3 linked regions of the Drosophila melanogaster genome follow. The protein of the gene in region 3 interacts with the protein of the main gene of each other region in a pairwise test. Each region holds a gene or a part of one and is shown on either strand. Other genes may lie near its edges.

Region 1 (4,009 bases), on a different chromosome or scaffold from region 3:
TAGTGGAGAAGCTGTGTCTGCGCTTCCCGGTAACGCGGGTGGAGCGTCAATGGCGCGACATCGCCTACTGCCTCGGCCTGCTCACCTACAACGAGCGAGCTGTGAAGAAGCTAATGGACAATATGCAGCACTACAGGGACAAGGTCCAGGTGGACGAGGTTTATCAGTCCTTCAAGCTCATCATTAGCAACACCAACAAGTTGGCCAAGCCGGAGCTCAAAGCTGTAGTCACCGAGTTCGAGAACCGACTGAACGAGTGCCTGCAAGTCAACCCGGATACCGCTGCCCAGGGTGATCAAGAAAGCACTCCAGAAGGTCAGGGCAACAGAACCAGAGCGGCGCCAAGGACAAAGAAGGGTGGTCGCAAGCCGGCGGCCAACAGGAACAATACTGTGCGAGGACGCGGAAGACGTGCTCGCCGGGATTCCACCTCAGAAGAGAGCTTCAGTTCCAGCAGCAGCGACTAGTTCGTGCTCCATCTTAAGTTACGATCTGAGCGGGTTTTTAATGATGTACAAAGATGGTTTTTAATAAAATAGTTAATAGAACCTATTATTGATATATTTATTACTTTGAAGTCAACAAACATCTAGTAAACTACTAAGATCCGTTTCCACATCCATCAGAAAGGGAACAAATATTTGGTTGCACTAAGCTACTGGGATGGGGAAACCAACACACGTAAATGGCAATACTCTAGACGCTTTGGAAGTACTAAGTTTGGTGGTTGCGTTCATGTTGTCTCTGGGCCTCCGACAGATGAGCACTGGGCACTGGCTTCACTTAATTTTCTTGCGAAGGGAGCGCTGGAGGGCAGGACCGTCGTCCGCGGTGCTCAGCGCAATGGCAAACTGGGCGGCGTAGTAGGTGATCATGATCTGGAGGCGGGCGCAGGGCAGGGGCACGCCCACGAACATGGTGACCGCGATCAGGGCGTCGGAGATCACAAACAGAATGGCTCCGATGGCACAGAACACGGCGAGGAAGTTCCTGGAGTCCACGGCGCGGGCCAGCGATCTCCACAGCATTGTGGTGATCAGGAAACAGTAGATGGGCACTCCGATGATGAGAATCTCGTCCAGTTTCGTGTGCACGAAGTAAACAACTGGGGGTTTCAAATATTCCAGGTAAGGTATACGTATATAATGACCAGTAAACTTACAAAGCGATACGGCCACGTACAAGAGCAGTCCAATGAACCACTTTATGGGCTTCCAGCCAAAGGCGCTGATATAAAACACGTGCGCCACTCCAAAGGAGATCATTCCGAAGGGAAAGAGATTTATGTTGAGCAGAGCATCACCACCACTCGAGAAAACCAGACCCAATAGAATCCAAAGTGAGCGACGGTATCTGTTAAAAATTTCTTGTTAATAAGTAAGTAGTATATAGTATTTCGATGCTATAAAGCTTACTCCTTCTTGAGCGAGATTCCCTTGGCCACCACATAGAATACAAGCGCGAAAATGGGCAGGCATTTGAGCACGGTGGTCCATAGCTCTCCTTGAGGATCCTTCCTCACCAGCGAGAAGTATAGGACAATAGTAACCAGGAATGGCACCAACTTTGGGCCTTGCGACTTAGCCTATAATCGATACATAGTACATAATTTTAAATATATTGCTTTAAGTATTTACAATAATTATCTTAATATGATTACGAGGCTTAACATGTTGCCTGGTCTTAAAATAGCTTAAACGATTATAACAAATCGAGCCACGGAGGTCCAAACTACAGCCAAATCAAGTGATTAGGGAAATCGAACCGTTTCGGGGGGCAGATTAGATTAGGGTTGGTTCTTGGGGTTGGCTCGACGGAACCTCGTCACCAAACATAAATGGGCTTTGCATGGAATTATTAAGGGGGGGTCTAATGGGCTCGGGTGGTGGGCGGCACTCGAGTGGTCCTTCAAACTTTCGCTTTCAATGCAGGAGCTTTCGAAGTGCGCCCGTCCGGAGAACCGAGAGATGTGCAAGGTCAAGGACGAAGCTTTGTGTGCTGCGTCTTGGTTCCACTTTCTGCGTTTAGATAGAGCATCCGCAATGCACACATATACATATTTCGCATAATTTCTATATTATCAATGAAGCTTAAGACCGTGAGATTCCTGAATTCCAGAACCTGCGCTACTTACGAACTGCCCGAAATCGTTCATTGCGGCCGTAATTAGTGCAAATTACAACTATTAGAGAGGGTTAAAAAAAAATCCGAGCCAGCCAAGCTGCACTTTCACACGATGCGAGCGCGGAATGGAAAATAAACAAAACTATACAGTGCCCCCCCGAAAATGAAAACAATGGAAAAAGAACACGTTGCGCACGGTCGGCCAACGTCAATAAACTGAGGCGTATCATATACATTTTCGATTCGCTGGACTGAAAAGTTTCCGATTGCTGGAGAGTGAAAAGTTTTCAGCCGGACATGTGGTGTGCAGCATATGCAGCATTCTGCAGATACGGATATCCCACAGATACAGATACAGATACATTTTGCGGGCCCAGGAGGGCAGATTGATTATTTCTTACCTTTGCCGTTTGGTGGAGAGCGGGAAACTCGGAGAGCGCTGCTCACGCAACAGGTTAATTGAGAATTGACCGTTGGGCAGAGCTTTTCCGCCAGCATCAGAATGTATCCGTGAGATACACTCATGCGCACTCGCTCTCCGCTCTCCGCTCTCTTTGTATCTTCAAAACAATGCAACAACCTCTGCACACTTTCACTTGCCAAAGCTTTCTCCGCAAAGCTTGGCTGGCTCCGGACTTTTTCGCCACCTTACTGTGGCCCAAAGTTCATTCCGTTTCGGATTGTGGCATTTTTCAGGCGTGCGAAAAAATTCCTCAGCGCTCCAAGAATTTCCACAGCAATTTTGGTCACTGCTTTAAAGTGAGCATAAAGCCAAGAGGCCAGCGAAAGAATTTTTATTTTCTTAACCAAGTAAGTGCTAGCCCAAAAGTATGCTATTGTTAGGCGTTCGAGTGTCCCAAGTGGAAAAACCTTGCTTGATTGAGCTGGAAAATTGTGTATCCGTGGGTGCTTCCTGCAGGCAAATACACACTCCTGTAGAAAGCAGGAGGTGGTGAAAATTAAAGCTGACCAGTGTGACACACATCGGGCAGCAGCAGCTGGCGGGGATTGGGGCAGGAGCGGAGCTCGTAAATTATGCAAAACGAAATTATGGTAATGCCACTGGCCAGAAAGCACGAGTGGGATCCTTGCCAAGAACGAAATAAAGAAGGACTGCCACACACTTGACCTCCAAGGAGCAAAGCCACACAAGACACTGCAGGGACTCGAGCCTATGTGGGCCACCAGTGGGTGGTGCACGTAGCAGGCCAGCCACCCACTCACACAAGTGCACGTTGAACTTGAGAAAAGAGCAGAGAAAAGCCCCGGGCGGAAAATGCACGATACACATCGATTAGATGACTGTATTTCCGGAGAAAACACACATCTCAATTATAATTTCACTTGAATTGATTAAATGCTCTTAATGGGTTTTTGAAAGTATTGAAAAGTGTTCTTTTTATCTCATACCTCAAATTATGCAATAAAATGCAAACGCGTATTTTATCAAGTTTGATTGATTTGCGTTCAATAATTGAATTGTTAAATTGTATAAGCCACTAATTGCACCACACAAATCCCCCAAAATAGATCGAATAGAGGCCACCCGAGAGGCGAGCACGCGACATGGCGTGTCCTTTCTTCAGGCGTGCGGACTCGCTGACACGCCAGCCCTCGGTCATCGCCGAGCCTGGTGGCCACTGGGCGCTCGAGGACGAGGAGCTCTCGGACGACGCCCTGACCCTCACCCACCTCCAGATGGCCATCCAGCTGCTGACGGCGCCGTCGAACGAGGATCTCAACACGGCTGTAACGTCTTTGGTGGCCAAGTACCGCCAGAACTGGCCCAATATCCACAAGCTGTAAGTAAGCATTATAAGAAATTATATACTAGATATAAACTATATCTAAATATACCCTAGCAAACTGGATCCGCAAACCTTCA
Region 2 (3,715 bases), on a different chromosome or scaffold from region 3:
TGCGTACAGCGATACTATATGATGTAATCTGGATTATTTATCTCTCAAGAATGCTTACTGAAACTGTGGAAGTAGCTTGCAGGACAGCATGCATTACATAGATAGGTAAAACGCAGAATACTAAAATAATTAAATCTCTGGTTAGACTAGGAACTTCTGGGAAACCCAAGGGCGTGCACTTAATACAGATGTCACTCATCCATATTCCATAGTCTATTATTAAAGCAATTGCTTCAATTTATTTGCGTTAGATAGGGTCAAATATATTCAATGTATGCTCATGCGAATGTTTAATTGTTATCTACGAAACGGGTTTTAGTCGCTGACGATAAATAATCTTTAACTAAATTTATTTTTAGTCTGAGTAAAACACAACCAAGCCAAAAAACTCACCCTGTTAATTTAACTCCATTATCTTTCAATTGAAAAACCTTTGCCTTAAGTTGATAACAATTTATTTAAAAAGCCATTCATAGGACCAAAAGAAAGTCCCCTAAAAATTACACAAATTTAAAAGTGCTATGGTTTTAAACACAAAAAGTATAATTTATTAAAACGCTACTTACAAACTAACAGATATAACATGATACAAAAGATTAACATCAATGGCTTGGAATGAGTTTACAAAGTTATAAAAATAAGCGTGCAATGGTTTAGCGATCAGTGAAGTGCTCCTCGACGTCGCCGCTACCCAGTCGTGGCGGCAACTGTTCTGAGAAGCGCAGCTGGCGCTATAAGTTCCCATCCAGGTTCTCCTCGGTGTTCTCCTCCACGATGGCCTCGTCCCAGGGCCCGTGAATGTTGAACTTGTACTGCTGCTGCCACACGAATATGAACGGGCAGACAAAGTTGATGAAAATGGTGGTGGAGGCGTAGAGATAGAGCACCGGGCGCGATATACAGTACAGCGCCATACAGCATATTGCAAATATAGGCAACATGAATCCAGCATGCCAATTCGCTTCCGTCATTATGGGATAAAGGACGAAAAAGACGGCAGCCTCGACAAGGAGCACGAAGGCGTGATACGAAGTCGGCAGGCGGGAGGCTAAGCAAATTGCTCCAAATATGGCGGCATTCAACGAGACGGCCTGCGCTTAACATGGAACAAGAAGTATTTGTATTATATAGGATTCTGAGGTGGAGTCAAGATCAATATACAATCAACACCAATAGCCGTAAATATTGCCTACCTTAGAGACCATGGCTACATCCAATCCATAGTGTCCAAATATCAGGTTGCCCAGAAGGACAAAGAAGGTCATTGTGTATATGGTGTCCGTGCTGATGGCCTGCGTTAGGGTGTGCAGCATCGGTGAGAATAAGTAGCCGAAGAGGACCACTGTGACCAGGGTTTTGGAATCCTCGCCCAGCAGGGCCCAGCTGAGACTCCTTCCTCGGTAGCACAGGTATCCAATGCCTGTGATCCCGCAACTGGGTACCAGGATCGTGGTGGGCGACACGCTGTCGCTGAGCATAAGTTGGTAGAGTATTAGGAAGCCGGTGATGCAGGAGATCTGATTATTAAGCACTGTAATACCGGCAATTGCTTCGCCGAACGTGTATATTCTACAATGTAGATTCGTGCGCAGATCCTTCAGAAAGCTGGCATCCGTGTAGTTGTCCGGATATTCCCGGTTGGAGTACAGGTTCTTCACCCATGGCTGCCGTTTCGATTGCCCATTTTTTACCATTCTTAAATTTAAAAATTGTTTGTTTACAATTCTATTAGTGCTGGGTTATCAGCGTTCGATAGTATCAGTTACTATCGACATATCGATATTGTTTTATCCACTGAAAAGTATTGAAAGTAAGTGCTGGTCACACTGTCATAGTGATGCATGTTTCACTTGAAATATCGATGATGATAGTTTAATTTGAAATATTAATAAACTGTTCATTATCTAAACAAGGGGTTTTACAGCAAGCTAATAATATACAAATCTTATTCTGAAAATTATCCCCAAGCAGAAGTGACTCGCCTACATCGATAAGAACATCCGCTGGTGTTGCGCAAAACAGTTACTCGAGCTATCGATACTTGTTCGAGTGGTTGAACCACCACTACCTTGAATTCGGAAATTTTTTGACGCACTTGTTTGTTTTGTTTACAATTACGCCACGAAAGTAAATCGGCAGCTACGAAAAAACATTAGGGATTCGTGCGGCGGGTAAACGATCAGTGGACAGTGAAGCAGTCCGTCCGGGGAGAACGCCCCATGAGCAGTTTTACAAACAAATCGCCGGTCGCGTGTTCTCTCGCCAGAGAAACCCCAGAATTTCCGAGAATAGCTATTTATGGCTTCGAATGCGCAACTCGGGAAAATCATTTTGATATCTGCAATCGCCGTGTTCTTCTATTACTTCTTTTGGGTGGCCGTCCTCCCGTTTATGCTCATCGATGAAGGTGAGTTTTCCACGGCTTCCGTTATTCACCCGCTAATACATAAGTTTTATTGAATAATCTCGCGCTTTTGTATAGTAATTAAAGTGACGCCGCGGCGTAAATTGGTCACGATGTTCAATTATATATAGTTGGCAGTGTACGAGGATGAACCCGTGTGTTTTACAGAGGTGACCACCCTAACACGGGTTACCTGGAATGCGGCTGTACGATGCTCTAAGCTCGGGTCAAGGTCACCGACGACTAGTGATGATAGGAGTACAGTATTCGCCCGATATGTGCACAGTCAAACTAGTTAGCTATTGTAGAGTCTAGGCATGTACAATCAGCGATAAAAACGAAAACGTGCTTAACCAGTGGTACCACTGTATTATGTGGTTCCAAATCTGGGTGTGTACTTAGCTAATTATTTTCGGTAGTTTTTCCGCCTGGATATTGGCTCTTCACTTTATACGTAAATATTTCATGATCGTAGTTTTGCCGTTCCGTGACAATTTTAATTTGTTGCTATTAAGAGTAATCATAAAAACAATATACTTACGTATTTTCTTTCCTGGCCTGTTATCAAATGAAACACTTGTGAACATGAGTATACTTTACAAACTTTTACAGGCAATCCCATTCGGCTGTTCTTTCCACCGCTGAAGTACGCTTTCATTGTGCCCACCGTGTTCGGGGTGATCTTCCTCGGCGGCATCGCCGCGTTCTCCTTTTACCACATCTGGAGCCTGAGAGTGAAACGTGATTAAGGGGGTTATCCGGGGGGTTATCTTGCTCGGTGCGAACGCGAACGTACGATTCCACTGAAAAACAAGGAAGAGCGATAGTCAGTCGTGGACAAGATGCCGCAGTGGCTGGTCATTGGTATCTCGGGAGTCACCTGTGGTGGCAAAACTACGCTAGCCCACAGCCTGCACGACTACTTCAAGGGTCTGAGAGGAGCGCCGCTGTGGAACTCGCCGTACACCATTGGCGAGGTGCGTCTGATCTCGCAGGATGACTACTTTCTGCCCGTGGAGGACAAGCGACATCAGCGAAATGAGGCGCTCAACGCCATCAACTTCGAGCTCATCACCTCGCTGGACATGGCCAAGATGCTGAACGACATAGCGCACATAATCAAGGGGCGCCATGTGGCTCCCGAGCCACAGGAGCACCTTGTGACGTATGCCAACTTCGAGCACTACGCCCAGCAGTTCCAGCAGCAGTACCAGTACAATGCGAACTACTACAAACAGGCCAATGGCGGGGTCTATCAATATCCGCCACAGCAGCACCCGAGACATCACCCCCATCACCAGCAGCACCACC
Region 3 (7,071 bases):
ACAAACGGCGCGAGTCCTGCCCCAAATGGGCAAACAAGGTGTGTGTGTGTGTGTGTGTGTGTGTGTGCGCACTGTGCTGGAGTGGCGATGCTAACGTTCTTTCAATTTTTCATTAACAGTGAGCTATCTATCGACGAGTGGCGCTTGGCGGGCAACCGCCAGCGGTGGCGACATGGTGGTCGAGATCAAGGAACCAAAGACGCGCACCGAGAAGCTAATGGCCTTCCAGAAGAAGCTGCGCGCTAAAACGCCGCTGGGCAAGCTGGATGAATTCTCGCGACATCCGTACCAGGAGAAGGAACCACTCAAGCCCTGGCCCAATCAGACCAATCCGTATACGGGCGAGATCGGCGGACCAGCCGGGCCGGAGCCCACACGCTACGGCGACTGGGAGCGCAAGGGACGCGTCTCCGATTTCTAGTGCCCAAATGAAGAGTTCCTTAACTAGTACTTAGACTGTTATTTAAATGCTAGCCATTAAGACTTAAAAACAAATCAAAATGTATACTTGTTTAGTGTAAAAAGAAAATACATGATATTCTTAACGTACAAAAGTTTATTTGCATTGCACTTATTGGGCAGAAACTATTAAAGAATTCAAAATATATCTTTGTAATGAATAGCTGGTTTAAAATGTAAAATTATACCTAATGGAATCATTGGTGGTAGCATAATGCATAAATATATTTAAAAAACAGTAGCCAAATGACTTGGCTAATGCTGCTCCTGCTCCACAAGCTCGGCAATCAGGTTCTCGCTCAGCTTCCACAGTTGCTGCTGCAGTGCAGCACTTTTGGACAACTTGCTGGGCTCGCAGAAGAAGCAATTGTTGAAGTACAGTCCAGACAATCCGGTCAGCTCGTTGGCCGTCGCACAGTAGATACTCGTGGCAGCCGCTTGTTGCTGCCATATGGGGCACAGAAAGCAATTAGTGAAAGTTAAGGGAAAACAGAGAGTTCTTCTCATTGCCAAACTCACCAGCGACTTGGTGAAGGGACGCACAATGGCAAAGAGCAGGCGGTAGAACCAATAGTTTCGTGACAAATCGCTGGACACCATATTGCCCGGATGCAGGCTAAAAACAGAAATGCCTCGCTGCTTCCAACGCTGCAACAAAAAAACAAAAAAAAAGGGTTGGCAAGTGGAATTCAATTGACCCAATTTAAGGACTCACCTGGGCGAGCTCCTGGGCGAACAAGACATTGCATAGCTTGGCATTGTTGTAGGCCATCATGCTCCAGTATTTCTCCGGCGGCGGCGAAAGGTGATGCACTGCCAGATTCTCCACGGGCAGGTTGGCAAATCTGCATGTTAGTTAGTAACTAAGATTATTTGCGACGCATTTCTTTGTCGGTACATGAGACCCACATGAACATTTCTCGTCCAAGTGAACTCACTGGACTTTGGCCCCGCCGGCCGACAATCGCGAAACGAGTCTTGATTGCCATTGCCGGCTGGCATAGCCGGCTTTAAGCGCTCTTTATTAATGAGATGCAGAATTAGCGCAGTGCAGGGCGCACAAAGGCTCCCCACGAACAATGGCGTGAGTCAACAAGTGGGGCCGGCGGAACAAAGCCCCACAATCGAACAAGGACCCTCTGATATGCATAGTGAACTCTATGGCGAACTATCTATCTATGTATCTATCTATCTATCTATCTATCTATCTATGTATCTATGTATCTCCAGTTTTCGGCGGAAGCCTCTGGAATCCTCGGCAGTAGCGCATGCGCAAGTCGCACATTTCCTGCGAATCCACGAATGCCGCAACATGAAAACATTTCTATACACAAACACATATCTGCGCGCACATTTCTGGACTTTGGATTTGTTTTCATTTTATTGAATATCTGCGCTCGGCTTGGGGGCGATGTAAATATAACGTCGCAAAATGTATGCAAATTCAGTGTTATTTATAAGTATGGGTATCCATTGGCATCCATGACAAATGAAACCCGTTGGCGTTCCATTTTTTTTCTTTTTTTATATATGTATATTTGTATCTTGTTGTGGTAGGTAAGCAAAAAAGCGTTCTTTTCGACTGTTTGCATGTAAATTAATTAGGTTCTACAGACAGATAAATTGCTGCTGAATGGCATTTAATTTTAGAACAATAACTCGTTGCTTTACCTTAAGACTCTAATTGAATTAATAATTGTTTAATGTCTGGACAACTTTTCCCACGCAAAAATATAATTATTTGAAAAAGAGAAACCTTAAATAAAAATATTTTATCTATGCAACAATGAATAACCCAATTTTTGTGAGCTGATGCAAGAATAACTAATTGTAAGTAATCTTTAATGTTTGAAAATGATAACCAGTCGAACTTCCATACCAACATTCATATCTTTTTCTCGCCCGTGTGAACGTGCAACAAAAGTCTCGTGCGCCACATTGGAGTACTCGCAGATAGTCATGTATGCTCCGCGAAGCCAAAAAATGTTGTACGTGAGCACAGCAACGAACGCAGCAGATACAAAACCACCTCCAATAGCCAGTATGTATGTACATACATATGTACATCCAGTTCAGTTTGAATTGGTATTGTGCCTCTTCACGAGATTCGCTCACCCAGTGATTTATTTGGTCTTTGACAGCATGCACAGTGAGCCATTCGAGCGGCCACAAATGAATCAATCTAATTAAGCGAGTTAGCGCTGATAAGGAAAATTATAGGGGCACTTTTTACATTTATAGTATCTATTTAAAGCATGCTAGTTTTGAACATTCAAAGTTTATCTTACAAAAAAAGTACTCTGCTTGGATTTATATGCGTAGCTAATCTGAATGTGTTTTAGTTTTAAAAGAAAAACAAAAATACTTTCTTCAGTTTAGTTAATTTATCTCATAGATATTTTTTAAAGAAAGATTACAATCATATTTTCAGAGCTCTCTACTCCACTGTGCTTACAGCTGCACGTGAGTTCGATCATATTGCTCTATTGTACGCACGTTTTTGGTTTTGATAATACAAAAACCCAGCTGCGTTGGCCTCGTAATTGTTTATATTTATGTGTTTCTTTGTTTGCCTCTGAGTGCGCAGCACAATATGTAAACGAAGCCTATGAATAATATATACTCATATATGCCAAGCTGAGTTCAATTACGTTTCGCCTTGAAATCGAATCAAACGGAAAACATCTTACGCAAACAAATCTGAGGCAAATAGGCAAACATTTTGGAAAACATTACACTAGACGGCATGGCTGAGGCGGAATGCATTTATTTCTGGTTTGGTCTATGAATAGTTTGGCCCCAAAGTGCGAAAAAAAAGAAAACGCTGGGTGCAAAGTCCACTATGCGGAATCATAAAAGTGCAATCAACTTGCAAAAATAAAAGAAGGCAACTCGAAATGGCAGACACACATTTAAAACTGATGGTGTCGAATACGAAATAGCTATTGAATTTATAACTACATTAAATAAATTAAATTAATATTGTAAAGTTATTAAGATAGTTAAAACATAAAGTATATAATTTTATTTTATTCCTTATTAAAAATATATTAAATATATATATTTTTAGAATGTGACATGCACCAAATTCAGCTTCAATTAAAATACCCGTGTGATTTTGATAATAATCATTTTGCACACAAACAGGTTGCAATAATGACAACTGTTTGCCGGCCAAAAACAGAAACAAAAAAATAATAATTATTAAAACGAGATTAACAGTGCTGACATTGAGAAATTTAATTAGGAAAGAAATAAGCCAAATTGATTCAAGAAAATAGGTTTAAGAAATTATATATAATACATCAATTTATATATTTTGAAGCTTCGATGTATTTTATTTAACTTAAGTAGAGACGATTTTCTATTGAGACAGTGACTGATAGTAAAATTGATACAAGAAACAATACGATCGAATTGTAAATAACTTTTTAATTCCCTTACTGATAGTGCGAAATATAACCAGTTGATTTTGTATTTCCCATGTAACCTTTTTTAACATATATCTTTTGAATACTTAATTTTTAAGATTGATCTATTGATATTTCATACGAAATATAAAACTTAAGTTCAGCGGTTAGTTTGTAACCTTTTATACACACCATAAGAATATATATGAATTATTTCGTAACTGGTATACTCTATTACCCCCTCCCTCCCTAATTACGTGCTAAAGTGCTCAAATTCACACTTACCTGTGCGACTCGGATGACAGCACAATGATCCGTGTTTTGTAGTCAAACAGTGTCTCCAGTTGCAATGTGAGGTAGAAATGCGACAGGTGCGAGACCTGGAATGTGGTCTCCAGACCATCCACGGTCCTCGTGTAGGGCAGTGCGAATACTCCGGCATTAAGGATGAGATAATCAATGTGGCTGCAATATAAATATAATTATCAATTAAATAATATTAGATTTTGAAAGCTATGCTACTGACCTAACACTCTGCTTAATTTCTTCCACAAATCGCTGAACTGAACGCAAAGAGCTCAAGTCGAGAGCGGCGAATCGACAGCGGGAACGTGCTGCAGGTCGCTCCTGGGCAATCCTTTCGATGGCCGCCTCTGCGGAGGATCTGTTCCGGCAGGCGAAGATGATCTCACAGCCGTGATGGGCGAGCGAACGAGCCGTCTCGTAGCCAATGCCACAATTTGCGCCCGTTATCAGCGCGGTGCGTCCATGCAAATCCTTGCCGTGCAGCACCTGCAGTGCCGTCGAACAGGAGTCAAATCGCTGGCGCACCTGGGCCACATTCTGTGTGGGCTCCTCCACGGCGAATGCCAAACGAGGATCCACATTCGTTCGTTGCTGCGTCTCCTTGTTGAGGAACATGAAACGCTTTCCCTGCTCATCGTAGTACTTCTCCCAGCCCAAGGGTAATTCGCCCGTGATCCGTTTGGAGCGACCCGTACGTGGATGTGTCCACTGTGATGTTTTTCCCTGCTGGCTAAATGGTGCAATTAAAAAATATCAGACAATGTTTACGACTCCACTGGACTTTTGACTTACTTCACATAGCAAACGGTGCCGTCATCGGTGGCACGTTCCTCCCAGCCGGGTGGCAGCTCATCCTCGCTATCTGTGTCGGGTAGGGCTATCATTTCGAATCAATTTAAACTTATTTAAAGCTTTATTTCTAAAGTATACACTTTTTATTGCGAAAAAGAATACAAAATAATTGAAGATATCGATAACATGCGGCTTAAGCGATAACTGCCGACTAAATGAACAGCTGTTCCGTTAAACGAAACATGTTACCCGCTAATAATCAGCATCTCCGTTTAACAGAGCTTTTAACCGCAACCGGTTGATTGGCGGTTGTTTTTTAAATTTAAATGATTTGTAGAAACTTAGCGCCTTGAACATTTGTGGGCATTGTTTAATCTGCCTGCTGTACGGTACATAGGATAATGTGAAAAGATTCAACAGCAACAAAAACCAATACAAATTTTCATAATTTACGTTTTAATTTATTTTTCATCATTGTGAATGATTTATTAGTTTCCTAACTATAAAGTCAACGAACTTAGGTGCTAAAGCTTAATAACTTATGATCCTAGAAACTAAGCGGCCGCCGGGGGCTCATTTATGAGTCCGTAGAAGAGCACCAGTTTCGTGGGATCGTGGCGCACAAGGACCATGAATGGAGTGTCTCCGCGGAAGAGGACATCGGGACCGGATTTCTTGAGGTATGTGACCGAAGACGCCGCCGCCTCCGTGCCCTGCTCGTTGACGGTGAAGTCCACTTTGTGAACAATGTCATCCACCACCAGATCGGAACGTGCTCCACCCGTTCCGGCTCTGCGCTGTGCCTCCAGATTCTGCAGGCTGTTGCCGCCCAGCGCATTCGTCCTCGTGGCCTCGTTGGTGGCGATGAGCGAGAGATCATTCTGCACCGCGCTAAAGATGCCGCCCAGCCCCATTCGCTGCATGACTGTCTTCAAGTTCACCGACTCCGTAAGATGCATCTTTGGGAATGCCACCAGAGCGGCCCGTCTGTACATTCGGCTGATCATGCTCTCGATCTTATCCGCCGTCAGACGTTTCTGCAGTGCCATTAGCTCCCTCACCGACGACTTAAACGGCTGGATGATGTACATGGTGCTCAGATTTCCCCTGTACGGCAGTCCAATGATCTTGCAGCCCAGCTCGTGATCCTCGTGATACGGATATGCACCACCGGTGGCCATCATCTGCACCCTCATCACCGGCTCCGTTCCCTCGCCATTCGGATAGAAGTTATCCGGACGTGTGGCTGACTCTATAAAGTCCGTTTCCCAGAATGCCTTAAAGTACAATGCGTTGGCCAGAATCATCCTGGTGGTCTGCGGAATATCGCTGGCGATGATGTTCTCGATGTGATTCTTTGTGTGCTGCGCCACATAAGCATTGATATTGTATCGTGCTGTCGCCGGACTGCCCTCGAAATCCTGAATCTGCAGATCCGAGGCGTAGACCTCGACGATCACCCGTCTGGAATTGCACAAAAGTGGAGCTCATGAGTAATAAATCAACAAGGCGCAGCTATTAGTATGCCAACAACGTTGTGCAAAGTGGAGCGATAGTATTGGGGAACTGGGGATGGGTTGGAATTGCAATATCTGGTGAGCTAAATAATAACTTGGGAAAGTAGTTTTTTTCCGCTTTTTTTGCAATGTTTGATCAGCTATAATTGAAGAATAAATAAATAATTAAATGTCTTAGTTATGTTTTTAAGTTAATCCATTCTTATCAGTGCTTTTTATTTGCCAAATTTTTGGCAATTCATTGTACCTACTATTTGACCTAAGGTTTCTAATTAAATATTTGATTAACTGATAATTCCAATTCCAATTCCGATTTAATTTTATTCAAGTTCTCTACATAAAAACAATCGCACTAAAAGTTCTTACTAAATTTGTTTGTCAATGGTTCCCATTTATATTCTAAACTTTATACGTACGTACGTACATATATATTTCTCAATGAAAGCTTGGGCTTTAAAGATTCATAAATATAAGTGGAATTACACGCTCATTTCTACACAGAAAAATATATTCTAATATTTTCTCGTTGTATATTATCTTCGAATATAAAATAAATACTTCCTTTTGGAGCACCACCATCAAGAGAC

What was found.
Region 1: the proteins of Wwox (region 3) and CG7582 interact in a two-hybrid assay, tested with the Drosophila melanogaster proteins (one large-scale study listed by BioGRID).
Region 2: the proteins of Wwox (region 3) and PIG-C interact in a two-hybrid assay, tested with the Drosophila melanogaster proteins (one large-scale study listed by BioGRID).

What each region holds. Positions count from the first base shown.
Region 1 is NT_033777.3:29,679,712-29,683,720, forward strand, and holds CG7582 (uncharacterized protein), read right to left. Parts: upstream 2,331-4,009; 5' UTR 2,156-2,330; coding exon 2,135-2,155; intron 1,586-2,134; coding exon 1,416-1,585; intron 1,354-1,415; coding exon 780-1,353; 3' UTR 530-779; downstream 1-529. Other genes in the region: CAP-D2 condensin subunit, read left to right, coding at 1-467; Gycalpha99B (guanylyl cyclase alpha-subunit at 99B), read left to right, coding at 3,691-3,926, 3,987-4,009.
Region 2 is NT_037436.4:3,317,499-3,321,213, forward strand, and holds PIG-C (phosphatidylinositol glycan anchor biosynthesis class C), read right to left. Parts: upstream 1,735-3,715; 5' UTR 1,695-1,734; coding exon 1,194-1,694; intron 1,092-1,193; coding exon 732-1,091; coding exon of another isoform or gene 654-731; 3' UTR 530-653; downstream 1-529. Other genes in the region: Dpm2 (Dolichyl-phosphate mannosyltransferase subunit 2), read left to right, coding at 2,299-2,407, 3,017-3,153; CG12016 (uncharacterized protein), read left to right, coding at 3,247-3,715.
Region 3 is NT_033779.5:7,999,130-8,006,200, forward strand, and holds Wwox (WW domain containing oxidoreductase), read right to left. Parts: upstream 5,158-7,071; 5' UTR 5,060-5,157; coding exon 4,968-5,059; intron 4,906-4,967; coding exon 4,396-4,905; intron 4,335-4,395; coding exon 4,155-4,334; intron 1,305-4,154; coding exon 1,175-1,304; intron 1,108-1,174; coding exon 979-1,107; intron 904-978; coding exon 715-903; 3' UTR 541-714; downstream 1-540. Other genes in the region: Sirup (Starvation-upregulated protein), read left to right, coding at 1-38, 120-421; Spn28Dc (serpin 28Dc), read right to left, coding at 5,522-6,431. UniProt on the Drosophila melanogaster protein: Putative oxidoreductase. May control genotoxic stress-induced cell death. May play a role in TGFB1 signaling and TGFB1-mediated cell death. May also play a role in tumor necrosis factor (TNF)-mediated cell death. May play a role in Wnt signaling.